3 linked regions of the Struthio camelus genome follow. The protein of the gene in region 2 purifies or fractionates together with the protein of the main gene of each other region. This does not show direct contact. Links are inferred from orthologs where the notes say so. Each region holds a gene or a part of one and is shown on either strand. Other genes may lie near its edges.

What was found. Proteins that work in one complex are often made in the same cells at the same time.
Region 1: the proteins of DDX20 (region 2) and SNRPF purify together in Homo sapiens (affinity purification with mass spectrometry; 5 studies listed by BioGRID and IntAct, counting the BioPlex papers as one, with this or other methods). This does not show direct contact. The link is inferred for Struthio camelus from reciprocal best matches to the Homo sapiens genes DDX20 and SNRPF.
Region 3: the proteins of DDX20 (region 2) and AGO2 purify together in Homo sapiens (affinity purification with western blotting; 3 studies listed by BioGRID). This does not show direct contact. The link is inferred for Struthio camelus from reciprocal best matches to the Homo sapiens genes DDX20 and AGO2.

Annotation. Positions count from the first base shown.
Region 1 is NC_090942.1:52,290,956-52,299,037, reverse strand, and holds SNRPF (small nuclear ribonucleoprotein F), read right to left. Parts: upstream 3,768-8,082; 5' UTR 3,468-3,767; coding exon 3,465-3,467; intron 3,256-3,464; coding exon 3,130-3,255; intron 2,843-3,129; coding exon 2,778-2,842; intron 2,192-2,777; coding exon 2,125-2,191; 3' UTR 2,076-2,124; downstream 1-2,075. Other genes in the region: CCDC38 (coiled-coil domain-containing protein 38), read left to right, coding at 1,288-1,398. UniProt on the Homo sapiens protein: Plays a role in pre-mRNA splicing as a core component of the spliceosomal U1, U2, U4 and U5 small nuclear ribonucleoproteins (snRNPs), the building blocks of the spliceosome.
Region 2 is NC_090965.1:9,048,074-9,058,691, reverse strand, and holds the start of DDX20 (probable ATP-dependent RNA helicase DDX20), read right to left. Parts: upstream 4,542-10,618; 5' UTR 4,462-4,541; coding exon 4,266-4,461; intron 4,167-4,265; coding exon 4,072-4,166; intron 3,708-4,071; coding exon 3,539-3,707; intron 3,248-3,538; coding exon 3,133-3,247; intron 3,051-3,132; coding exon 2,908-3,050; intron 2,525-2,907; coding exon 2,386-2,524; intron 1,932-2,385; coding exon 1,873-1,931; intron 1,147-1,872; coding exon 1,064-1,146; intron 409-1,063; coding exon 303-408; intron 216-302; coding exon 114-215; intron 1-113.
Region 3 is NC_090943.1:168,309,236-168,318,561, forward strand, and holds the start of AGO2 (protein argonaute-2), read right to left. Parts: upstream 4,576-9,326; 5' UTR 4,360-4,575; coding exon 4,329-4,359; intron 1-4,328.

The DNA.
Region 1 (8,082 bases), on a different chromosome or scaffold from region 2:
ATGGAGGCTTGTAACTGGCAGTGTCCCCTAGGGGTCAATACTTAGTCCAGTATTGTTTAACCTGTTCATCGATGATCTGGATGAAGGGACAGAGGGCACCCTCAGCAAGTTTACTGATGATACTAAACTAGGAGGAGTGGCTGACACACCAGAAGGCTGTGCTGCCATTCTGAGGGACCTGGACAGGCCAGAGAGCTGGGTGGAGAGGAACCCCATGAAGTTCAACAAAGGCAAGTGCAGGGTCCTGCACCTGGGGAAGAATAACCCCATGCACCAGGACAGGCTGGGGGTTGACGTGCTGGAAAGCAGCTCTGCAGAGAAGGACCTGGGTTTCCTGGTAGACAAGTTAAGCATGAGCCAGCAATGTGCCCTTGTGGCCAAGAAGGCCAGTGGTGTCCTGGGGTGCATTAGGCAGAGTGTTGCCAGCAGGTGGAGGGAGGTGATCCTGCCCCTCTCCTCAGCCCTGGGGAGGCCGCATCTGGAGTACTGTGTCCCATTCTGGGCTCCCCAGTCCAAGAGAGACATGGAGCTAGCTATTGCAGTGAGTCCAGCAGAGGGCTACAAAGATGATGAGGGGCCTGGAGCATCTCTCCTCTGAAGAAAGGCTGAGAGAGCTGTGCCTGTTTAGCCTGAAGAGAAGACTGAGAAGGGATCTCACCAACGGGTACAAGTATCTGAAGGGAGGCTGCCAAGAGGATGGGGCCAGACTCTTCTCCGTGGTGCCCAGCAATAGGACAAGAGGCGACGGGCACAAACTGAAACACAGGAAGTTCCACCTAAACCTGAGAAAAAACTTCTTTACTTACTGTGAGGGTGACAGAGCACTAAAAGGTTGCCCAGAGAGGGTGTGGAGTCTTCATCCTCGGGAGATATTCAAAACCCACCTGGACATGATCCCGTGCAACATGCTCTAGATGACCCTGCTTGCGCAGGGGACTAGATGATCTCCAGAGGTCCCTTCCAACCTTGGCCATTCTGTGATTCTGTGACATTTATGGGAGCTAACAGTCTCCTCTTTGTGTGGATATTAGCTACAAAGTCAGTACGATTGCATCTTTCCTTAATAATGATTCTACAACCATACTTCAGGCTTGCTTCATTACTCAGAGAAGCAGAGCGTTTCTTAGAGACACTGCACTATAGTGGATCTCTGTATTTCATCTACTGTGGGGTCTTTGCAACTACTTCCAAATAGTTTGTAAACACATTTAAAGATGAAGTGTATTCTAATAGCAACTATGTACATACCGTAAAGTATATACACTGCTGTATTTTCCTGTGTTTCAGACGGGAAGACGACTGGTATTTCGTTCACAGCCTCCAGCCGTTAAAGCAAAGAAGGTAGTTAAAGATGAAGTCCCTGCAAATACTGAAGATGACTCAGAGTTTTTCACTTAGAGGTGAAACTTACTTCCTACTGAAAACAGGGTTAACACAGCATTATGGCTGTCTTCTTAATCAACCAGTTGAGAGCAAAAGGAATCATTAGGAAAGCACCAGTACTCTGCAGCAGGCACATCAAGATGTTTTTAAAAGGTTTGTGCCACTGCTCATTCTACAGCCTGCATCATCACCATTAGAGAGAGAAAAGGCTGTTCCTGCAAGCTCCTTCACTCTACTCATCCATTCAGCTTAGAGCAGCAGAACAAGCCACGTACACAAGACGGGGAGTTCTTTATCTTCCATTATATGCTAGCCTGCACTGCATTATGGCTACCTGACAGCCAAGTACTGATACTAAATGGAGCTGATAAAAGAATGAGCCATATATTTTCTCCCAGAGTACACAGCTTGGAAGATTTAATTCAGCTCTGGGAATCACTTAAATTCAAATGATCGCCTTAAAAAACAAAACAACCGAAACCCAAAGCTTTTAAGTATTACCAGTCTCAATGTATGACAATACTTTTAATACTCACTTTTCACTCTGAGTTTCTCAGTTTCAAACTGCAACAATTTCTTCTTCCTCCAGCATTAGTTTTTCCAGATGCCATTTAGAGATTACAAGTGATTTAAGCATTAGCTTCCTCCATATTAAAATACAGAGAACGAGAAGTAAACACCTTATTACAAAGTTGTGGAAAATAAAAAAGAAAAAAGTTTATTTCCAGATATACAAAACACCTATTCCCTCATTTCTCCATCTTCTTCTTCTTCTTCCACACCTCTGATGTACAAAACATTATTGCACCTGTAAACAGAATCAAAAAATTCCCTTAGCTGTAAATATAGGTTTTAATTTTCCTCACATATACATCATTTTAGGCATTTTCCTGTACGACAGTAGCCCAGCAACAGCAAAATTCTGCATAGTAAATTGTTGCTGTTGACCTTGCACAGCTTTTCCACAAAATTCATTATAACTGCAAAAAATAAGTTTTTTTAAAGTATTAACTGATTAACAATGCTGTACAAGACAATTTTACTTTTGGATTAACAATTATGGTCAAGCTTAATATGCAAGCATGTAAAATTTTACTCTACCAACGCTAAGGGATTAATAATCTACAATACTCGGGAAAACTAAGGCATTCAATTACTTAAGAGAGGCATCATAAATATTTATTTACGAGTACTTCAAAATTCAGTTTTCCTCTCTTCAGGAGGAATCTCAGCATAAAAGAGTTTGTAGTCTTTGCCCAGGAATTACATTAATGCTTATTTTGGTATATACTTACACAGGAAACACAGCACCTAGCATTACAAGTTTTAGCACAACTGATGTGAAAAAATTTAGAAAGACTCTGCCTCCACCATAAGAGCCCCAATTACCTTACCTTATCAAAACTTCACCAAGGTGTCCAGACAAGGCGCCATCTATATACTCTTCTGTGTTTGCAAGCTTAAGAAGGAAACCAGCAAGCGTTAAAGTGATCGTAATAGAAAACCTCACAGAAAGCACCACGTTTTGCCCACCGGCTGCTGTCTGGCCACCTTGATCGCAGGAGGCCATGCGCAGCTCTCACCCGGCTCCGGTCGAGCCCGCAGCAGAGACACTACAGATCCTTTAAAAGTGCCCGTCCCCCCACCTCCCCCAAGCAGCGGGTGCTCCGAGTCGAGCACAGGGCTGCCCCAGCCCGAAAGACCTCAGCGTGCCCCGGCGACGCGCCCCGCCGACCGCCGCCTCACCTGCATGTTCATGTAACCGTCGACGGAGACGAGGTAGCCCTTGTACTCCATCCCCCACTTGAGCTTCACCATCACCGGCTTCCCCGTCAGCCCGTTCAGGAAGGGCTTGGGGTTCAGGGGCAGGCTCTGCCGGCGAGAGCGGCCCGGTCAGCGTGCCCGATCCCCGCCCGCCCGCCCCGCCCCGCTGCCTCGAGACCGTTAATAACGGCCGCCGCCCCGCCGCCTCGAGACCGTTAATAACGGCCGCTGCGCCCGCTGCCCGCCCGGCCCCCTCCCCCGCGGTGCGGCGCGGCCCGGCCCGAGCGCGGCCCGGCCCGAGCGCGCGCCGCCCTCACCATGGCGAGGCAGCGACCGAGGGGGACGCGCAGGCCGCAGAGAAGCTGCTGCCGGGCCGCACGTGCGCCCGCCGCAGACCGGGAGCCACGGGAAGGCAGGCCCGCTCCGGCTTTCGCTTCCGGGGCGGCGCCCTGCCCTCCGACCTCTCACCCCGCGGCGCCGCAGTTTCCATAGGATGCGGCACCCCTGCGCGCCAAGAGAAAAGCGGCGCTGCCCATTGGCTGGGGGCTGCCACGGGCCTCCCTCATTGGCCGAGCTGGCGCAGCTCGGCCGTCTTCCAACCAATGGTCGGTCCCGCCAGCGGCACCGTAGCTGCCGGCGACGATTTTGTGCTGCGCTTCTCGCCGTTCGGCGCCGGGAGGGGGCGGGGCCGGGGCGGCCGTTGGGGGAGCGGGGCGGAGTCGGGCCGGGGCGGCCGTTGCGGGAGCCGGGCGGCGGGCGGGCTGTCAGGGCCGGCGGGAGCCGCCTCCCGCCTCCGTGCCAGCTGCCTCAGGACCCCATGAGCTGAGTGGAGGCCTTCCCCTCCCTCTCTGCTTTGGTTACCTCGTGCCCGAGAGCCCCGCAGGCCCCGAGCGGTTGATTCCGTGCTCTTTTCACAGAATCACAGAATGGTCGAGGTTGGAAGGGACCTCTGGAGATCATCTAGTCCAACCCCCCTGCTCAAGCAGGGTCACCTAGAGCACATTGCCCAGGATCACGTTCAGATGGCTTCTGAATATCTCCAAGGAAGGAGACTCCACAACTTCTCTGGGCAACCTGCTCCAGTGCTCAGTTACCCTCACTGGAAAGAAGTTTTTCCTCATGTTCAAATGGAACTGCCTGTGTTTCACTTTGTGCCCGTTGCCTCTTGTCCTCTCACTGGGCACCATGGAGAAGAGTCTGGCCCCATCCTCTTGACACTCTCCCTTCAGATACTTGTACATACTGATAAGATCCCCCCTCAGTCTTCTCTTCTCCAGACTAAACAGGCCCAGCTCTCTCAGCCTTTCCTCATAGGAGAGATGCTCCAGTCCCCTCATCATCTTCATAGCCCTCTGCTGGACTCTCTCCAGTAGCTCCATGTCTCCCTTGTACTGGTGAGCCTTTTCCCCTCAAACCGGCAGAAACCTTCTTTCGCCTTGCAAATTGTACCGCAAGAGTAACACCTCCTCTCCCAGCCGAGCACAAATCTGTCACAGCTTAGCGATCCTGGCTGTGTGCGTGTAAGTTACACGTACACACTTGTGAGGGTGTGAAAATGACTACGCTGGAGTCGAAGGCGGTCTTTTCCAGACGTTAACGTTTTGTTCTCGAAGTTTGACAGCGTTGAGGACTGTTTTCAGCTCAGGAATATATTTACTCACATCTCTTGTTATAGCTGTGTGTCTATACAGATATATGTCCACGAGGTGGCAGTGTTTGACTTGGCTGATGACTGCGGCACCACACGGGAGACTTCTGCTAACGAACTTTCCTTCTAGTGTTATCTGCAAGTGTTGCAGGTCAAAACACGGTGGAATCAATTCCCATATAAAAATAAATTTGCAAACCAATACTCTTTCATTACTTCATACACAGGAAAGGCTGAGAGTTTAAAAGACGAATAAGCTATGTCCTTGCCATAGTGCTAGTGCTTTGCTCCCAGGCAAAGAAGCTGCCACAGCTTTTCTTGGCTGTAGAGAGCATCAATGTTTTCATGGTCATGAAACTTCTGCCCTGCTGCTCTGGCTATAATTCCTGACTCTTAATCTTCGAGACATTAACCAATCTTTGTACCATTTACTAATCTGTCATGTCTACGCTAATGTCTATGTTGTCTGTTCTAATCCACGTCTTACGTTATTATATGTGTGAATTTATGTACCTGCTTACGGAATATTCCCTTCATATTTAATATATTGGGTGCTTATGTGGAAAACACACATGTTCAGTAGCTAACCTTTCTGTAACAGAACTTTTTTTTTTTGGTGCACTCTACCTTCCAGAGGATAGTCCAGCTTCCTTCTGCTGGAAGCAAAAAACATCATTACCTGCTTAAATCTGAGTCTTTAATGCTGTCGAGCCGAAGAGTCTTTCTTCTCCTGAGCCAGGCTGCTTTCACGCACAGTGTTAGAGATTCTTTTATGGCTGGGTAGGAGTATGTAAGATTGGCCTTTATGATTCGTTTTAACTATCATGTATCAGAAGCATTCTCAGATGTTTGTTTCCGTCACCTTTAGAAAGGAGCGTGATTTTCCTTTGGAGTTTATTGTAGGCAAGAGAGACAACATTGGAATTAAGCCAATAGTCTTTCTGGTGGCAAGATTCACTGTGGGCCAGCTGAGAGAGTAATTCCAATTGTGTTATGAGCTTTCTATAAGAAAGCCTGGGTTGAGAAGAAGCAATATACAGGAAAAGCAAAATTATTCATGTCATTTGGAGCAAAAAAACAGCTGATTTCCAGCAATGACATGAACAATGTGGCAGAATGCCAATGAGTTTAGAGCCAGTCTCCTGGATAAAATCATGCTGTGGAAGTCATTTTTGCATTTTTCTGACAACTGCTAAGGATAAATATATGTATCTGTGAATGCCAATATAGCAGTTTTGGTATGTTATCTATAAACAACTTTTCTTATTTTTGTATACTTAGCCAGTTTTGATCACAGCGTCTCCAACTCATGCTGGGAGAACTTTTTAGATACCAGGTAATACAGGAGCAATTACATTCAGGTTTTAATTCACTCAGTTCCTCTGACAGATGACTAAATATTGCAGCCCTGTTTTTACAAAACCATTGTTGTCATCAAAAAAATAGAAAATTTGCAAGGTCATAGACAGCAGTTCTTGAGCAAGAGTACAGAGCAGGAATGCTTGACTTCTAGTTTCATAATCAGTGCATGAATTCACACATCAGTGATCTTGTCAACTGTACATTGCGTCTGCAGCAGTTTTGTGTGTTGGTAGGGTAGGAAGAAGTACTTTGCTGGAAGCACAGAATGCATGACTACATCTCATGTAGATAACTGGATAACTTGGTTAATCAGGAAACAGAACAGCTTTTTCTTTTTTTTTTTCTCCTTTGAGGAATTTGCTGTTTACTTTGCTGATTGAATCATTCTGACTCAGAGACAGTCTGCTTACGTGGGTCTTCTCCTGACCTTCAGCACAGGGGTGAATTTCACCTTTTGTCTTCTTTGTACTTCCCCATGCCGAGTAATAGTTTGCATTCTTTTCAGCCTTTGAGTCAGGATATTTAGTCTGTTGCTCAACAGGAAATGAACAGGAAAGAGTTTTTGTCATAGATTAATACAAACCTTAGATCTTGAGTGGATGGATAGTATTTTCTTTTACAGCTCAGAGGTGGGAATTTAGCATGACTGCCTACACTTAGTTCCTAAGGAAACACATTAAGCAGCTGAACATCCGATGGCGGCAGCAGCATTTCTGATGAAGCGATACATTAGACGGTGTTATCTGTGTAAGCGCAAATGCTCACTGACATCGTCAACACACCATGTCACTAATACTGAGGAGAGAAGGCTAGCGCCTGTTCAGCTCTCATTGCTGCAAGACAGCTGAGCTGCCCAGAAATATTTCCTGGTTGAGCTGAATGTGCTGAAACAGGAACTCCCTGCAGTAACTCCATGCTGCCTGTCAAAAACACATTTCTTAGGAAAATTTCTAGAGCTACCCATGTTTCCACTTTTGGACTGCAGACATAATTAATGTCCCACACCTTTTCCTAATGATATACCAGTGTAAATGGGGTTTTGCTCTGCTGCACTGTTCTCCCACATCAAGCAAGCTACTTTTGATAACCACATAGTTTGTCTCTGCTGGAGTCTTAGCAGCACCAACACAGACACCACAGAGGTGGGCAGCAGTTGCAATCAGAGAACTTAAAACAGACGTGAAGGTGCAGCCATGAATTAGGAGTGAGGAGAGCTGTATTACCAAATAGGAAGCTCCACCAGGAGGCTGCACCTTCAAAGGACAGATTTACATGAAAGTAAATCCAGTGCAGCAGCATGGAGTTAGCTTGGGTACACAATGGGATGAACTTCACCTTCTGGTTCTGTTGGGTTTGTACTTGACTCAGCTGTGTAAAGACCCAGTGGTCTTCCCATGCTAACCTGTCCCAGGTGAAGATGACTTGGCAGTATACCATTCTCCTTCCTGCCTCTTGCAGATCTCCCAGACCTCAGTGTCTGGTTCTTGAAGATATTAGGTGGTATGGTGCCTCAGCCTAAGCTAGACACTTTGTACAGTCATGTTGACTGGGGGATGATTTCTGACAGTCTTTCTATTCTAATTTCTTGGGGACACAGTGGTATGACTCTCATGGACCTGGAAGGATTTTGAAGTTGTGTGCGCCACTGGGAGAGTTTTACTGCTGTAGCAACCCTGTTAAAATATGGAGAGAATCTAAGTCTCAAGCTAATCTTGCAAGGAAATAATTTAATGTTTTTCTTCAGCAGTAGGCATAGTGGAAGAATTACCATTATAAATCATGGTGAAATGGAAAATCAGCTCTTACCTACAAATTTTCTGTAGAACGTATCTGCTGAGAATGAGAAAATTAAACTTTTGTCTAAAAATACTTTTTTTCAATAAGGATTGCAAATTTCTGATAGATGTGAAAAATCTGGATCAGCT
Region 2 (10,618 bases):
CCTTCAGCCGAGAAGGTGTATGTCAGTTCACTGTAGACTTCTCTGAAGCATTGACTTAGCAGCAGAAAACAACCAACACCACCACAGAGCTGCATTCACAGGACAGAGCATACCTGGTAAGGGAAGAAGCCGAAGATTACATTTCTGTGCAATTTGCATCATCATGTTTTCCTCCTGTCCACGGCAGCAGTATGTCACAGATAAGCCTAAAGTTCCTACGATACACAACAGAAAGTATAATTACCTAACCAGACCCAGGGAAGCTAGCTCAAGCTTGATAAATCCACATGACACTATTTTACCAAAGCGTCCAGCTCTGCCAATACGATGCATGTATGTTTCCCAGTCCACAGGCACATCCAGATTGATGACCAGATTCACTTTTTCAGCATCAATTCCACGAGATGTCTTGGAAAAAGGAGTTAAGTAAATATACAGAACAGATCTTTAAAAGATACCACAGCACATTTGGGAGTTAACTGCTTGTACAGTAACCTCTATTCATCACAATACATTGCAGATAAAGCATCTACAATTGTCCAATCAGCTTATGGTATTAACATGTAGAACAAGCATATCACACTGGGGCCATGCAACACCAGGATCATTTTGCTTATCCCTTCTGTATAGGCAACACGAGCAAGTGTATTTCTTCAACATCAAAAACTCAACCCCACAGCATGACAGAACCTTAAGCTAGCAATTAAAGACAAGAACCACTGACCACAAAAAAGCTGCAGAAATCTCAGACAAGAAACATAACCACTGCTCTCCCTAAAGCTGTTTGAGGTGTTACTGTTTTGAGCTTACTATACTAAAACATACTCCTTCTCACAGTGTCTACTCAAAGTAAGCACCTCCACTCTGCTGAAACTGTGATTTTTGAAACAGATGAGAAAAAGGGTACAACTTCTCAATCTCGCAGTGAAAACAAGTCGCATTGAGTGCTCTTCAGTCACATACTTTATCAGTATGTTTAAGATCCATTCAATTCCAAGTCAAGTTTAACACCCTGAAACAATATATATGCAATTCTTGCATATGTTATAAAATACTAACTCACCAAGTCTGTGGAAATAAGAACTCTACAATGGAATTGCTTTAATTTAGCCATAGCATCAAGTCGTTGATTTTGATTCATGCCACCTAGACAGACAAAAATTTATACTTAGAAACTGAAATAAACATTAGAAACAGATTATCTTCTTCAGTTTCTTGCTCCTCAAATTCTGGAAAACACTGCTTTGTAAAGCATAGATGAGATTAGAGATAAAGTTGAGAGAAACTTCCCCAAACGTTAGTTGTAAATGAGTTAGCAAGAAGCAAACAAAATAAACTTGAAAATAAGGAAATCCATTACAAAAATTCCTACTTTTTTTACATATATACTTGACTCACTTGAATAACATTGACTTTAGAAAAGTTTTACTTGAACAAAAGCACATGTAGCCATGAAAACCACTGTGGAAGGAGAAATTCAAAGGAAGGCTTCTAACAACCGTAAGAGCTAGCTATCAGCCGTTAATAGAGAAGTTGGGGGGGGGGATTTAAATGCAACAACAGCTTTCCAAACAGACACTGCTTGAAGATGCAAGTGTAATAAACTTTCTCTTTAAAAATAAATCAATGCACTTGTCTAGATATTCATATAATGACTGTCAGCAACAGATTAAAAAGTAGAAAAGCTGATCAATGGAAAAATTAGATTAATAACATGCAAGTCTTTAAAGACCTGTGAAGATTCAAATACTATTCTTTGCTATCCAAACAGAAGTCTTACAAACCAAGCTTTTAAGCTGAATATTCCCATTTTAGATCAGATGTATGCACAAACTTCAGCCTAGAGAATCACAAAGTTCTGAACAGACTTACCTGAAATGCACTCAGCAGGAAAGCCTTTGGATGTCAGTATCTCAGCTAGATGTTGAGCCCTAACAGGACATACACAATGAAAACTAAATAAAACTACATGCTTAGCAGTACCAAGACAGTGCTAGGCATAACAGTCAATGTGTCCTTTTTAACAACATGCTGTTCTTTACAGGCAAGGATTACATTCCAAAATTGTCAGTCTCATCTTATGTCCAAACTAGTCAGTCACCTTACAGATTTTGCATCTGTCAGACCAGACTGGGAAAGTACGACAGGATATTAGTTCTCACTGCAGTCTAAACAACGTATGAGGTAACTTCATGCCAAAACATTCCTTTCTTTTCAATACTTCACACTGCTATATTTTACATGTTGTGACTGTATTTCAGATCTGAAATTTGCATTTGGCTTCAGCTGTGTTTTGAGACCTTTATAAAAGATGCTACATGACTGCATATTATAGCCACTGTTTTCAAGCATAGTTTTCTTCAGATTTCATTTCAGATTTATTACCTGCTATGCAAATTTGAGAAGACTAAGGCTTGATTAAATGGAATCTTGCTGAAGAGCTCCTGTAAGTGCTGGACTTTTTCCTCAAATGTCTTATGAGGAAGTGGATGGGAATTGACGATTTTGTAATACTGCTTCAGCCCTGGGCAAGGGGGAAAAAAAAAAGGCCATCAGATTAATGGCTTCAGTAAAAACATGCAATGTGCTATATTGTTGTCAACTTAAATGTAATTGCAGCTAGAAGAAAGACTAAGTTAGAACAAAAACACAGGTACCAAATAAGAACCTACAGGACAATTTTTCTTAAAAGAATGGAACATTTTTGAAGTATAGGAAAACCAAAAAAGTAACTTTATCACTGGTGTTTTAAATACAGCAATATTGCGAATAAACACTTAGTGAACTAACCAACTTATCTATAAAGGGAAATGATAAGGCACTGCAAGTGTTAAGGCATATATTTTGGTTTTATTATACTCCTAATAATCTATTTCATATAAATGTAAATGAGTTTCTTACACTTACCAACGAGACTTGGCTCAGTAGGGTTCAACCTCACAAATGTTGGCTCTCTCATATACCTGGTCAAAGCACTAGCTAATGATTCAGGATAAGTGGCTGAAACAGCCAGCATCTGCTTATTGGCCGGCAGCGAAGAGTAAATCCAACTACAAGAGAAGGACATTTACAAGAAAGACTCATAAATATGCATCTAATCTGCTAAGTGTGGGGGATAAACATTTTTCTTACTTAATTTGTTCCTGAAAGCTGCCTTCTTCTAGAAGCTTGTCTGCTTCATCAAGAATGAAGAGCCGGATACTGGCTGTATTTAAGTAATCCAACTCTATGAGTTGTTTTATCCGACCTACAAAAGATAAAAAAGTAATCTAGGCTTCACAAATATTAACTGAATGATTCTAATCAGGAGACTTATAATATTTAATTTTTTTAATATTAATTTCAATAAATTCTTTTTAAAAGGTTTATTTAAAATAATGTCTCAATAAAAACATTTGGCCTAATTTTTTTTTTAGCAGTGGCCTTTGAGATTGGCCCCATTAGTTAAAAAAAAAAATCAAGATTTCAAAAGCACCAATTATTGTAGTGTGAAAAGTGCGTCAGACTGTATCTGAAGTACACTGAAGCATGTCCATACCTGGAGAGCCAACAGCTATGTGGCATTTCCTTAGCCTTATTTTGTCCTGGTTCAAAGGAGTTCCTCCAATGAAGACATGGCACTCCAAACCTTCCATTTTTATTCCGATGGCTGTGACGACAGCATGAATCTGCACAGCAATCTCTCTTGTCGGAGCCAAGATCAGAATCTTTAAGGGACAAAGAATTAGCCTTGAAAGCAGCAGAATGGTTTAGAAGACAGAAGTACAGCAACCAGTCTTGACGCTACCAGCTTCATGATTTCAAACACCACGTTCTATATAAAAACCTACTAAGAGTTCAAACTCGTTCCTAACTACTAAACTCACACAGCAGCGGTAAAAACTGAAGTAACTTTTTACCACAGCACATGTCACTCATGAGGCAAACTAAAGGATGGCACGTTACAGTAGGGGTGGAAGCAGGAGTTTCACAGATGCGAACGCGCCATCTTCCAAGGCCACCTCAGCGGTTCCCGCTCCCGAGGTGGAGGGAAGGCCCGACCCCGGCAAGGGCCCCGGGGCCGGGGCTCACCTGCGTCGCGGGGTTCTCCAGCAGCAGGGCGTCCAGAGCGATGGCGGAGAACACGCAGGTTTTGCCGGTGCCGGACTTGGCCTGCACGATGAGATCTGGAAGAAAGCGGCCCGAGGGGGTCAGCAGCGCCGCCCCAACGCCCCCTCTCCCCCCCGCTGCCGGCTCGACGCCCCGGCCCGGCCCCGGCCCCTCACCCAGGCCGCAGCGCCCCAGCGGGATGGCCTTCAGCTGGACCGGCGAGGGCCTGTGGAAGCCAGCCGCCTCCAGCCCCGCCAGCACCGGCGCCGACAGCAGCAAGGAGCCGAAGTCGCTGGGGCCCCCGGGCACCAGGACGTCGCGCGTGCGGAACCGGCCCTCAGGAGGCGGAGGCGAGCCCGCGGGCGCCGCCATCTTGCGAGGCGGGACGGCGAAGAGGCAGCGCGGCCCCAGACGCGCCTTTACGCGCCGCCCGGGCCTGCGCACGCGCCGCGGGGGGAGAGGGGCGGGGCCGCCGGGCGCCAGGGGGCGGCGCGGATTGGCCGCCGGGGCCCGTTTGAGGGCGGGGCCGTTAACGGTCGCGGCGCGCCGCGCGCCCCCTCACGGAGCGCGGCCCGGGCCTGGCGGCGGTGCGGGGAGCGCGGAGGCTCCGCCGTGGGGCCCCGCAGCCTCCCGTGCCCACGGCTGCCAGGCCCGGGCCGGTTAGCGGTACCCGCCGCGGCCCCGTGGCAGAGCGGGGGCGGCCGCCCCCTCGGAGCACCCAGGCAGTGCACGCTGCCGCCGGCGAGGTTTTTGGCGTAAAAAACCCTCCAGAATTAAAATTCTACGAACTGCAAAAACAAATACAAAAAAAAAAATCGTTCTCCGTGTGGCCACGTGACAGAAATGATTGATTACACAATTTAGCCATGTGGCGTGATCCCTCGGGGCAAAAGCTGCGTTTGCTTTGCTCCGTCTGAAATCGCAGGCTCTTCATTACTATCCAAAGCAAGGCAATAAATAATGCGCTCGGCCTGGCGTACAGTTTATTTCAGGCTGATAGGCGCTTTACCAAAAATTTGACTCTTGTGATTGATGTGGTGGAAAAGGATATTGCCTTCTTAAAGACGAGTGGGTGGGATTTAGATCTTAGAACAGTCCCTGTAGGAAAACTCGAAATGCCCCGAGTTACCTGCCACAGCAGATGTTCCCCTCGGCTGGCAGGTACGTCAAATGGGACCTGGAACAATCTGTATGCAGTTTTAAATGACTTACCTTGAATTTTCAGTAGAGTAAACCACAGATGAATTTCTGGTTTACCAAAATCAGCAGAAAACGATCCCACTGATTTTGACTGAATTTCACATTCCAAGCGCGAATACTAATTCTCACCATGGCTCTATCTGTGCAGCATGTTTGTATCCTGTTTTTCTAAGGCCATTCTCCACTAACTTTTTCTTATCTAGTACCACTGCTTGCTCTCAGTAGGGATATCTCTTTCCTTCTTTTTTAAGACTTCAGAATCCACTCCTTATTCCTTAACGTCGTTGCTCCCTCCTCTGCCTCAGCTTCCCTATATGATGCTGCACGCTGTCATCTTTTCCTCCAGCAGCATTTTCTTCCTCATTTTTTCCCCCATTCTGTCTACAAGTGATCTTAGTATCTGATTCTGTCTACAAGTGATCTTTAGAAAAATTGTTTCTTGCTTATAGGTGAAGCTATGAGATAACCTTCAAACCCTTCTAACACCACTGCATTTCAGAGTTATCCTAACACGCAATATGAAGCTTCGTGGTCTGTACAATATTTGAAATAGACTTTGTGCAGTAAAATCTTACTGACTGGTGTATTTTCACATATTCCCATAACACAGGTAACCCACCCATCTCTGACTCTGATGAACATGCCATTCCACAGGTAGCTGGTCACCGACACAGCATATCTAGTTGAGTTTTTCCTAAACCTCGTAGTTCAGTCATAATAAGGAATAAGGTACCTTAAAACAGATGGAAACAGATACACGCTCCAAGAGAGGACAAGGTGCTTGCAAACGAGTTATCTGTAAAAGATCAGGATAGGGGACAGATTATGCCTCCCTGCCAGTCTACGGCAGGTTTGATGCGTTTAGTCCAGAAGCAGACTGTCTGCTTTGGGGGCTAATAATTACAACAAATCTTTGCAGCTAGCTTCCTGTTTTCATTTTGTTTTGTTTTGTTTTCTCCATTGACATTAGCATTTCCTGTTTACTGCAATAATTAGGGCTGTGACTCCCCGCTGTGTATCTCGTAGGTGCATTTAGCCACATAGAGGCAATTAATGATTATGTCTAGGAAAAAGTGATGCTTTAGATGGAGACAGATAAACCTATTCAGCTAAGCAACCTTTCATCCACTCCTGAGATCATTTGTCTTAGGAACAGCACAACAGCTTAACCTTACAAATATTACAGAGGATGAAACCTCTATAATACCTGAGCAGACACACTACAGTGAGATCTGGAGGCCTTGCTGCAAGACCAGTGCAGGAGCTTTAATTAGCCAATGAGTCTGAACCATAGAGAGAAAACGTGGCCCAAGGCATGTAGGAGGATGAACTGAGCACAGGGCGGAGTGAAAGAAGGCACCAGGCCAGAAATGGGAGGAGGAGGACACACGAGAATAGTCAGAAGAGAGGAGTGAGCATAGAGCGAGAGGGAGTCATAAGAGGAAATGAAGGCAGATGGGTCAGCAAAGGAATGATGTAGAAGGCTGCGTAAGAGGATGAGAAGTACAAAACTGATCGCAGTGCCAAAACAGCTTCAGCAAGCTTCTTGACAGGAGGTGCCCTGAGTATCCATAGCTGTATTAGTTGGGGGAGAAAGCAGTCACCAGTAATCTCTAAGCTATCCTACTGTAAGAAAATGGCACGAACATTGTGTTCTGACCCCTCTAGTTTCAGCCTTTGTTCTACCACCCTGACAACAGAAATGAGTTTCTTGTTAAACACTCTAAGTCTGGGATGCAGTTATATTGTGTACAAAAACAAGATCTAAAAGTCAAAGTGCTAGGAAAAATTAATAGTACAGCATTAACTTCAGCAAAGGCCAAATCTATTAATCTCTTGTATATGCATTACTTACTACCTTCTGTAGACTGCTTATTTTAAATTGTGTGTGGTTTCATTATACATATCAGTTTTTATTGTCATAGCCCTTCAGAGGATCTGGACATGCAGCTCCCATTCGTTGTAAGGGGATGTGAAAAATCTCAACAGTGGCTTCCAGTGTATGAGTACATACACTGGTTCATTATTCCTACATTGCCAGGCAGCCTAAATGAATTTTAAAGGCTCTTAGCGTAGTACACTCTCTGCGACTCCTTTGCAATTCCATCATATTACTGATGGGGAAAAAAAGTCTGTTTTTTTTTAATGATCTTTTTACATGAATATTTGAGTACCAACCAAGACTGGGGCCCCATTGTGTCAAGCACAATACAAAAAAGAATATACAGTTTCTGCTTTGGAGAGCTTATCTCTACGAGGTCAGGACAAACCAGATGGTAGGGAGGAGAACTCTGCCACAGAGCAGAGGTAACAGGATAGCTATTCACAAGCATTCTGTTAGTTCCAATTATTTTTCAATTTTTAGGTGGATATTCCCAGTTGGTCCTAAAGGGGAAACAAGTCTCTAACATGAGAGAATTGTCTCCGGATAAATCTGGGAATGGAGACAGACAAGGAGACCTGGACATAACAAATGGTTTGATTAGAGACAGCCTCTCATAACCCTTTTAAATTGATCTGATTTGAACAGACAATGAAGAGCAGTGGGAAGTATCTGCACCCTACCTGGGGGAAGGACAGGGAAGAAGTGATAAAGCAACTGCAGCAGGCATGGATATAGCAGCAAGGATAGCAGGCATGTTGTAATGCAACTCAGGTGATTTGGTTACAGAAGTCATCGTTCTCTGAGATGCATTGTTAATAGGACATTGAGATGCACTACCTTAATTCCAAAGATGCTGCTGTTTATTTAATTTTCTCAATCTCCGTCAGATGCAGGAGGGAGAGGTTCCAAACCATCTCAATGTCTATGCTGAGTAGCACTATGACACCACGACTGGCAGATTTATTGTTCCTCTCCCTTTGTTTTTGGCCCTCACTGGTTGTGCTGTGTCAAATTGAGGACATGCTCCTCATGCATGAGGGGGACATGCAGTCCCCCTCATTCCCCGCAATGTGCATACAGCCTGTAGCTCAAAGTTGGCAGATAGGCTCTTTTGCATGATTTCTCAAGTAAATCTGTGGACAGTTGCTAATTCACATTAATAAGCCCTCCCAGCCATTTCATGTGGTCTACTGTGTTCCGCAGCACCTGATGTTTCACATAAGCTCCAGCTCCAGAAGCGTCTGCAGGTCATGCGTACCTGCTCAGGTACAAAAACGAGCTTAACTCTGCCTCTATACCATGCCAGGAGCCCTGGTAGATGATGATGTTATCGAGGCATGACTCAGGATGAGACTAGACTGTCTGTGTCTGATAGACCAGATGCTCAGATCCTAAAAGCTTTCCCTCTTGAGCTATCTCAGTTCATCTAACGAAAGGTTTTGCTTCTCCCTTAAACCTTACACCTGTAGAAGATTATGACTCTACTGCTACTAACTTTGTTTTAAAATCTCTGAATATATATATTCTGCCATGAGTCAAAGGAGTGCCTTTGCCTCTGGGTTTCAGATCCAGAAAATACACACGGTGTCTCACAGTAAAATGCGAGTTATCAGGTGCATTTTGATTTAATCAAATAGTTTTGTAGAACAAATAACTCACAGTCAAAACTACAGAGTGGTGCAAACTGAGATACTTCCAGTCTCTCTGTACAACCATGCAAATGTGCTAAGGGCTCACTATCTGACCTCTGAGGCCCCAGCTCAGTTTGCTGCCCTGTACTCGTACATCGCACAAAGCTCCATGCAAGAGGGCACTGCCTGTGTGCAGCAGCTGGCAGGATTATTGCCTGGTTCGCGAGTCACAGCATGTGCACCGTGACAGTCTTTTGCTGCATTTGAAATGGAGACAAATGCTAATTCCCAGGAACTTGCTCTTCTTCCTGCAGGGAAGACGACTGCTTTCTGTCCCAATTCTATCAGAAACTTTGCTCTCTAGATGAGGGGGCCTGAAAGGTTCCAAAAATCATAAAGAGTTTCTCCCATCCTGGGCACAGACAGGTAGATATAGACAGAGTGCATCATAAGGAGGTTTTCCATTCCTCTTTCAGGAGAAATTCTGGCAATGTTTGGGTGCAGAATGATGCTACTGCACTATACAGAAATGATATACACAGTTAAAAGAGCAATGTGTAATGTAGTTGTTGAAGGGGGAAAAAGTGTGGGCTTCACTCCAGATAAATAAATAACAGCCCTTTATAATCTTAGATAAGTTTTTATACCAAGATTTGCTAAATTATTTTCAGTTAGTATAAACAGGATCTAGGTCACCAAAATGCAGCCAACTGAGAGGTAATACAACAGTTCTTTAACACCATATAGCACAGTGAATGACGTAAGGTGTTTTCTTCTCCTAGTACAGGGAATATTCTTACCCAGTGCAAGAGCCAGAGGAATGTCATGGGTTGGAATCTGGCTGGAGCAAAGTTAAGTTTTACTCTGAGGAGGGGTGAGTGAGGTAAGGGCATAATAGGATCTTTAAAGACCACAAACGCAAACAGTGCACGCAACGAGCAGCCTATTGGAATAAATGGTCAAATTCCGAGCGGTAGTTTACCTCCTCATGCACAAATGAAAAGAATAGAATTACATTTTTGACATTATATTCTTACCTATCTCTTGGCTGGTTGTTTGTGCCTCAGTGGACTTAAACAAAGATGGATGCAATTCAGGTCACGCCACAGCCTCAGTGGGAAGCAATTCTGAAAAGTTTACCTTCAGTGTGCAAGCAAGTAAAAAATGAAAGAAAATTCAGAAATATCCGTGGATGTTGGTTCAACAAAGAACAGTCAAGTGAAAGCACTGCGAAACAAGATCAATGAACTGAAAGACAACAAATGAGATAAAGAAACCCATCAGCTGTACAGGGACGGATGTTTTCTGAAATAGGAAGGAATGAGGCATTTTACGTAAGCTGAATACACCGCTCTGAAGGCATATTCTATTTTTTGCCCAAAGGTCTCAGTTTTTCTTTTTATGTTGAAATAAGCCATGTAGGTTTCTGCTTAAGGGAGTTCTATTCTCAACTCTTTTTTTTCCTCAGAGACCTGATTTTCCATTGCACTGCGCCATCTGCTCATCATTTACACCGCTGCAGAGGGAGTATAAAGTAGAAGGGAGTGGAGGGCCTGGCATGAAGTGTCACTGTTGCTTTGAACCAGTTGTCTAAGCAGAAGAGAAAAATGTTGCTTAATGGGGAAAGTCTACTGAGAAAAAAATTCAGATTTTTCTCTTCTGCCAGCAGTTTTGAGCACATGAATGTTCAGGTCTCTCTTCTTTATTCCACACTTGGAAACTCCTTCATCAGCCTCATTGGATAGGAGCAAAATCTGAGGCTGAAAAACTGATGAAACCAACAGCCATTAACAGAAGCCAAACAGAGGCTAAA
Region 3 (9,326 bases), on a different chromosome or scaffold from region 2:
CCACATGACCTCTGCACTCCCTTCTACACACATTACAAAACACAGTTGAATATATGAGTGTCTGATATTTCTGCAAAAAGGAAAAACTTCAAGTTGACGGAAAAATAAACGCACAAAAATCCTGCATTACTGCATAGTCAGTACGTCAGAGTCACTGCTGAAAATTTTCACTTTTCACATAGTGAATCTTTGGTTCACTAAGAAAAGGAGAAAGCTTTGGTTCGTATGTGTAACATCAGTCATCCTTTCACCAAATAACTCCCTCATTTTAAGCCACCTAAGACCATGCAGCTAGTGGAAACAATAATATGGAATCTTTTCCTTTCTTAGGAAAATATACTGGCCATGACAACAATATTTTAAAAAAGTTACCTGCGTTTTGTACATTGTAGGCTGTCAAATGTGATTTAAGTCTAAAAAAAAAAAAAAAAAGTCTCATGCAAAAAAAAAAATTGAGCGCGCTGTATATTAAATTATCATTTCCTCTTTTACATATGGCAGCTTATAATGAATTTCAACATAATTTACTGTCTAAAATTAAGCCCCAAAAACCTGTGCAAACATGTGATACCAGCAGGACAGCACAATACAAACAGGCCCAGTTTCAACCTAAAAATAATATTAAGAGGCTTTCTAAGAAGTAAAAGATTGGGCAGGTGATGAGGAGACCCTTGATACAAGGGAGTTCTTGGTGTTACTGAGGCAGGTGCCAACAGCCTGCTACAGAAAACTCAAACTTGTTTTTCATACCAGGAAAAAAAAAAAGTTTATTTTATACGTAAAGCAACAACCCCCTTTTTTTTTTGAAGTCACCTTTTTTCCAAGTAAGTGCTCCTTCAACAACAAATTAAAACCTCAGATAGTGAACAAAAACAAATATTCTTTCAAATAAAGAAAGAGACAACCTATAGCATGCAAAGTTTAGAATTTATAAATATGTGAATACTAAGCAGTGCAAGTTTCAGAAGTTTGTGCAAGTTTCAATCACTTCCTCAAACTCAACTGATCTAACAACAGTATTTTTATTATACCTCCTTGATATCTTCCTGTCCTTCTAGGAAAACACATCCTAAAAAGTATCTATATTAATTAAAAAAAAAAAAAAAAAAGTTTCATACTTTCAAAACTGTAGTCTTTCTATAGTCTCTTGAAGGAGAAGGAGCACCAGTGTAAAGTCTCAAAGCTGAACAATATTTTGGGAAAAAGGAATGGAGATCATAGCTTTTCTAATCATAAAAACGTGATCTGTACACAAACATCTTACTCTCTTGTATAAAAATATTTTACTCCCAATGTAACAGCATGTTAGAACAAAGTTTCCAGGTTTAGCTGCAATTTTTTTAAATTAGTCAGATGCAGCCTCCTAACTTGCTTTATACTGTTTCCAGAAAAAGAATGAAGATTAAAATAGCAAACCCTGTGGCAAATTGAGTGATTACATTGGCAGAGGGCCAACACCACAAACACCCTCAGAACAGGGATGGCTGTGGTGTCCAGTTTGGTGACGGGAGCAGGAAGAGTAAAGTAGCTCGTATGCTGCAACATCGTTCAACGAACCACCAAACAGCGGCCAGACCCAAGTTACAAGAGATATGAATGGAGCATTTAAGCTGCGTCAAGGATGTGGTGACAGACATGTAGAGGCTGGAGCTCTCCTGCACTTACAGCAGCTGTGCCTTACTGAACGTCTGCGAACCACACTCCTGCTCGCTCATTCCTCTGAAGAGGATCTCAGCATACGCTCGCTTGATACGTATCAGATTAACACGTGGAAGGGGACTTTCACTAGCAGTGCACAGGCCACGTTTAGCCTACAGGACAAAACCAAGCACCCTGCTGACAGTCTCCGTTTCCAGACTGGTTCACAATACAGCTCTTCCCTCTTTAAAAACTCTAATCAAAGGTCCTGCCGTATGATTTGATGCAGAACGGGAAGCTTTTTCGGATTGCTAAAAGCCACTGCCCTGGTAAGGCTCTCTGTGGATGACTGCACAGGAAGGAAACGATGCGGACAACAACTTGCAGCTCGTGCTCTAGACCAGACGCTGTCCCTGCCTGGCTCTGCAGAGGGAAAAAAAGCTGAGCCCAAGATAAACTGGGAAGTAAACGAGACAGAAGACGAGCTTAGTTGAAGGGAGCGGAATAGCAGAAGCCTGCGGCACCGGACAGCAGTGCTTGCAGAGAAATAGCAGCTCAGTAAAGGTATGGTGTTTGCTCTCTGGGGCTCAGAGAGGGTTGTTCTGATAAGGGGAAAAATACACATACGCACTGGATCTGGCAGTAAACAGCAACCACCTGTGCCAGTGTTGTGGAAGTAAGATCATTCTGTGTAGAAGGGACACTGTTAGGATCAGATAAAGAGCAAACGGAAGAAGATAGACTGCTCCCACATGTAAACCTGCTCTCAGTCCATATACTGGCAATTTTTTCAATGATTTGGTTCCTTTAAAAAACAAAACAAAAAAACCCCACCTCCAGATAGGTGAAGAACCCTTATATACAATTTTGCAAAAGATGTAACAATAAGGGGTGAACGTAACAGCCTTAACAGCAGCACAATTTAAGCACCAAGATTATCTGCACACTGAAAGTGAACAAGAGAACCTGACACTAGAAGCCAAGCAAATGATAAAGTAAGTATTTATGCACAGCTATTGGTACTGAAACTTGAAGACAGCCCAATACTTAAAACCAAAGTATTGAACGTCATCAGTCTGGATGCACGCGGCTACAGCGGTCTGTCTTCCTGCTGTGTATAGTAAAAGCCTTCATGAACTACAGGAAGAAAAGCAAGGAAGAATATAGCTCTTCTGGTTTTCCTAAAAGGACAGCTATCGTCCCGGTCCTTTCTCGATTCTCTTTCCTTCAGGGTAATAGTATCAGACAGAAAAGGGGGGGGGGGGGGGGGGGGGAAGAGGAAGCCAGCACCTAACTGTAGATCCTAAGGTGAATGCTGCTACTGTGGCAGCATTTGCAAGAGAGAAACAGTAGAAGGGTCCGAGCTACAGGTCCTATATTGTTCTGCACTTTTCCTTACTAGATCTTCCCTTCACGGGAAAAAGATTTTACACAAACCTATGAAGAACAGTAATATAAAATACAGGAAGTTTCACTTTTAAACTTTTTCTGGAAAAAAAAAAAACAAGGTAAAAATAATAGTTTCTACATTAGGAGAGTTGTTTTCTTTTCGAGCGTTAGGCTAACTACACGCTAACGACACAAGCTCTCACAATACTAACTTATCCTTCCCCTTGAACAACACTAGCGTCCCCGAGCAAGTTGCTAGCGCTTCTGCTGCCCGCGTCCTCCTCCCCCTTCGCTCACAAAAATCCACCGAAGTCTGAAGGGCGACTGAAGGCGAGAACCTCACCGGATCCCTATGGGACAGCGGGACGCAGCCCCCGCCCGCACCCCAACAGCCAGGCCGCGGCTGCAGACACGCCGCCGGGCAAAGGCGGCCGCGGCACCCCCGGCCGCTGCGAGGGAGGAAATGGAGACCCCCCCCGCACCCCCCCCCTTCTCCAACCACCTCCGCCGCCCCCGTCCGCGCCGCGCTGCCAGCAGGAGGCCGAGCTGGCACCAACGGCCGGGGCAAGGCGGCACGTAAGCGCATAGAGGGGGGACGAGGCGGCCGAGGGTGACCCGCCGCTTGGCGCTGCCCCAGCGGCCACCACAGAGCCGGGCCCCGGCAAGGGGGAGCGGGGCAGCCCCTTCCTCTCGCCCCTCCCCGCTGCCTCGGGGCTCGCCGCCGCGGGAGGGAGGGAGGGAGGAAGGAAGGGGAGAGGAGGGCAGAACACACGGCGACCCTCCCCTCGAAGGGGCCTCAGGACACGCAGGCTCACTCGCCTCCCTCCCCGAGGTGGTGGCGGCGGCGGCGGCCTGACCCCTCCTTCCCCCGCCAGCGCGGCCTCGGACGGAGGCTACGAGCGAGCAGGCCCGGGCCGGGAGGGCACTGAGGTGGGGGCGGATGGGGGGGGGGGGAGGGCGGCCGCGCGGATCTTCCCCCCCCCCCCCAACGTCTCGCCGGCGGCCGTTGGCGCCTCGCGGCGGCGACGGTTGGGGGGGGGGGGGCAGAGGGGGCGCGTGCGGCGCCTCGCGCTGACAGACCGCCGCGTGCGCCAACGGTCACCCACCTCCCCCCCCCACACACACACCCCTCCTCCGCCTTCCCCCCTCCCCCCCCCAACGCCGCACACGGAGCCCGAGTTCAAACCTTCCCCCCCCCCCACCCCCGCACCCAACCCCTCCACAACACGCCGCGAAGCGACTGCGAAAGTCGGCGGGGCGGGAGGTGAGGGAAAGGGAAACCGAAGCGGCCCAAACCTCACCGGGTCCGGCGGAGGTGGCTCCCGGGTACATGTCTCCGTGTACGGCGGCGGAGGCGGCGCCTCTCTCCGGCTTCCCTACCGCGGCGGCAGCTCGAGGGGAGGGAAAGGGGAGGAGGGAGCGAGAGAGCCCGAGCCCCGGCTACGCTGTCGGCGAAGGGGGAGGAGGAAGGAGGGGGAGTGGGAAAAAAGAGGGAGGAGAAGGGCCGGGCCGACGCCGGGAAACCAGGTTACTCGGCGGCACCGAGGAGCGGGGCGGTGGGTGGGGAGAAGGGAGGAGCCGCGGGGGTCACGGGGCAGGGGCGCCCCGCCCGCCGCCGCCGGCTCCCTCCCGCCGCCCGCGGCGCCAGCCCCGGCCGCTCGGCGCTCGCCCCCTTTCTCTCCCGCCGCCTCCTCGTCTTCTTCCCTTCCCCTCCACGGATTTCATCAGCTGGCGCCGAACAGCTCACGCGCCCTCAGAGCCCTCCGCTCTTTTTACAGTCTTTGCCAGTGTGGCTAACCCAGCACGAACGGGTCTTTCTAGGCCCTGGAGTCACCCACCGGGAAGAACCGAGGCCTTCGGGCAGGTGTATCGTCATCAGTCAGGCTAAAACAAAGTGTGTGCTGCAGCCAGGGCTGCTGGAGACCCCTCTTTCTACCAGAGCTTGGTAAATAAAACACTAAGTTCCTCTAGCTCCCTCTCCGCTACTTTAAGGCGGCCTGCCTAGCTACGCCACGTGACAGGGATGATGGAGCGGCGTCAGTGTTATCTGTACTGCCTGTGAATGCCCTGTTTACTTGAAAACGGGGTTTAGTTCCTTCAGTTCTTCCTCCCCACAGCCTCACGCAACAAGGGCAACGCTGCTCTGAAAAACCTCGGATCGCTCACCTCGTGGATCTCACACCTCCATGCTGCATCCACTTCTTGTCGTACTTATGAAACCCAGCTGTGGTCTAGTACCTAGCGTATTTTACAAGATAATCTCTGGTCATAAATTTAATACAGGAGAATACCAACCAGTAATTTCTATAATGTGAAAGAGACAGTATTGGTCAGTATGATGCACGGAGACCCAGAGATAGCAGTGATGATGATGATTCCTTCAAGAGTCGTCATCCTTTTGAAATCACCTCATTGGTACTTCTTCCTTTCAGGAGGAGAAAGTAGGAATAAAATTCTTAAAGCCTGTTATGGATGCAAAAGGCAAGCTGATGCCACTCGCTGCCACCAGAAAGTGTTAGTTACAGAGTTAGAATATAGCAACGCTGATCTATAGTTTCACGTACCTGCTCTACTCCTCTCATTTAGATGAAACCTCTTAAAAAAGCCTGAAAGGAAGCATCCCAGGACAGTAAAGCCCTTTCAAAGTCAACTGAATTCCTTCAGTAAATACTACTTGTGCTAAAGCACAAGGTGAACGTACTGCTTGCGTTGTCAGTCAAGCCAGCATCCTCCTTCACCAGTTTACATCTGAAGCTCTACAGAAGCATCCCACTATGCCAGAGTTACGTCAGCTATACATCCACTCTTCCCTTTGGGTCATACTGATAGATATTCAAAAGTCTCTACTCTGAGCTCAGCTTTCATTTCAAGCGTACTGTACCTAAAACCGTTGTCACCACTAGACTTTCCAGGGGAAGGATTATTCTCCAGGCTCCTCTAGTTGCCAGAAAGTTAAAATTTACTGGTAACTGCAAACAAATAAAGGACAAAATCATGAGTCAAAATCGGTAAAGAGACATACTGTAGCAAAATTGTAAAGATAGACTTTGAAGACAGCCAAGGGAGCTGTCAAAGGGATTGCTGTTGTCCCCTCTGAGGATTTGGGTAGATTTTTTGCATAAACACCATTAATTCCTTGTTTATGCTAAATAGTCTTTCCAGAGGCTGGAAGCAGAACAAAATCCAAAAAAACAACGAGCCAAAAGAGAGTCATCTGAGGCAACTCTGCGCTTCTGCTCTATTAGACGGTACTAAATGCTGAGGTGACAGTGGGAACTCATGCAGCCCCTGTATCAGCATCGAAGGTTTTGATATTATATTTAAATCAATCTCTTCTGTTCTTTCTGATTAGGAAGTTTAACATGCATCGTACGATGCCTGTTAGATCTTCTGCATTTAAGGACAAGAGAGCATGAAAATACACTGGTCTCTCGAAAATGGTCTATTGAAAGTGATGATCATGGAGAAGTTAGCATCCAGTAGCCATCACCTGATCTCACACATTAAGCCTAAATTTACTGCCTCACCTCAGCAGCGGCTCAGCTAAGTAGCTGTGGTCCTCCCTTAGCACTTACCACTACACGCACGTGTTCAAAAGTTTCATGTGAGAGACTAGAAGGAGGGGAGCTAGTATAGCTTTTATCATATCAGCAGTTTATTTATTGTTTTAGCAAGATAAATTACATGGTTTATGTTTGCTATTCACAGAATGCAAGATGAAAATAAGCCATCATCACAAGTAACCACAGCATTTCAAAATTAGTGACTTTTTAGCCTGGCATCTGATGTGATGTGGCAGTAACATATATACCACCACCATTAGCACACCTCACGCATTAGACAATCAGATGCATTAGCACTCCAAAATTTTATTAAAGCTGACCTACTTCAAGTATGATAACATAAACTTTTCATTTATAAGTTTGTACTCTTAAGTCGTATTTTGGGAGAATCAGCTTTCATATTGTAAAAATTTTAACCACACAAAGTGCACAGATTTAGGTTATGAGGGCTATATTTCAGGTTAAGAGGATTTGGTCAACGGACCTCCAGGACCATCACTGCATACTGCAGTAAAATAGTCCTTCCCAATTATGACTCCAACGGCAATTCCTAGGGGGAGGAAAAAAACCCACAAATAACAGATGCATGGGTCTCCTCAGAAAAACAACACAACTTACATTCGCAAAAACATCAGTAATCTAGGCTTGCCTAATTTGGTCGCCTCAACCAGTAGCACTTGAGCTAACCTCCATCATAACATTCACACCTTTGGGGCCCGCAACACGGATAGAAAGGACAGGAGCAACAACTACTGCATTATATTTTTCCACGTGAAGAAATACCTGCTCATGTTGGTAGATGTGTGGCATGAGCTCAGTACAGACTTCCAGGAAAAAGGCCCTCTCCCCATCCTGTAGTTCTAGAAACGCAGATCTTCCTGTCCCACCTTTCTACACCATTTGGCTCGTGAAATGCTGGCGTGAAAGCAATGGTCAGTGAAGCTTACACGCTGAAGGGATATACCCACATGGAACTTCATCTGACACCGCACACGGCTGCAAAAGAGAAGAAAAATATCTGCTCATGATTGTACCTGCTAGCGGTTTGAAGACAGCACAAGCTAACAAGCAGTAGAAGATAGGTGATATACAGCAGGAGGTTTCACAAGATGGTAAACACATAGCCCACACTTCTCTTGGGCTCCAGAGGACGCTCTGCAATTGATTTCAGAAATTACCTGGAAAATATAGATGCTGAAAACAGCAATTAATACCTGGAACTTCCTAGATTGCAATATACTCATATTGATTTAGAGCTGATTTTTGTGGATTTAGAACTTTATAAGCAAAAGGGCATTATCACTGTGTATACATGACTGCGGACTTGCACAATCAGTTAAATAGTAAATCAGTTAAATAGTTTTATTTAACTACTGTTTTCTCATGTAGACAAGTTCTGTTCTTCCTTTAGGCTGTTTTCATGCTACTCTGCACTTTCAGCAACTTTTCTGTGTGTCGAGGAAAGAGGAGAGTTACAGCTCTTGTCTACCCTCCTCTTGCAGTTACAGGGCACACGCTCATTTTGGGCCTGCTAACTTGTTTTACTTCTAAAGCTTTCTCTTAATCATTTTACCTGACAATTGATGTTCCAGAGCGCACTGAAAACTAATTACACCTTACCAGGCAACTTCGCCAAAAAAGACACCAGTTTTTGAGAAGACTGAGGCCAATGTGGTTTGAAAACTCTATAAAAGCATTCCTATATACATGCTCCTCATGCACTATATTAACAATTACGCAGTAGTTTAAGAAGAATTGCTGAAACATTCAAAAATGTTTTTCTTTAAAGAAAGATTTGACTGACTGTTGGCCACAATACCCTACCATAACTGCTGGATTTAAAGTTGAAATTTCCCAGAACTGATATCTGCCAAAGAAGGAATCATTGTTTTTGGAAAAAACAAGCAGCTTTTAGTCATTTTGGAAGAGAAAATGGTATTTATGAACAGCTTTTAAAAATGACTTATATCAGCAGCGGCAATCATCTGGGATAAATATTTCACATACAAATAGTCTAGTGGCAAATATATGGCTTCTCTTCTGGTGAGAAAATGTGCATTGATTTCACTAAGTAACAACCCTCCCCTTTTGAAACTGAATTAATTTTAAAACCACATTTTGTGAACGTCTGTTAGACATTGTTAACAATGTTAAACGGTAAGAATTTTTACTTGGAGAAAGATCATGTAGATTTGATTTGTGACTCTGAGGAGATTCTAACTTATATTGTATTAGATGTAATGTATTAGATTTCTCACATATTCTCTATCCTGCTTTGCATAATAATAATATAAAATGAATGAGATCAGAACAAAAGAGAAAACGACCGTGACTCTATCATCTAATGTTTTCACATGGTAGATAGACTCGGAGGGTCTCTTCTCCAGGGACTGTTTACTTGTGATGAAAAGAGTGATCAGTAAAATAATAATCTGCAGTAGAGGGACCAAAACCTAATATTGTCTCCCTATACCTAGGTGACTGTACTAACCGCTAAGCTAAAAAGACATACTTTATTTCATTTACCAAATGAAATGTAACACTTACTTATTTATATTAAAAAAATATATATTATTACTAGATTCCTGACTTCATTTCACTCGAGAAGTACTCACCTTCCTAGGTGATGGGGTCCAATATTACAACAATTAAACCCTATGAAAAAGGTGCAGCACCACCTATTGGGGATATGGACTGTGCACTTACCATTACAATAGTAGTAGAAGTTTGTTCTAT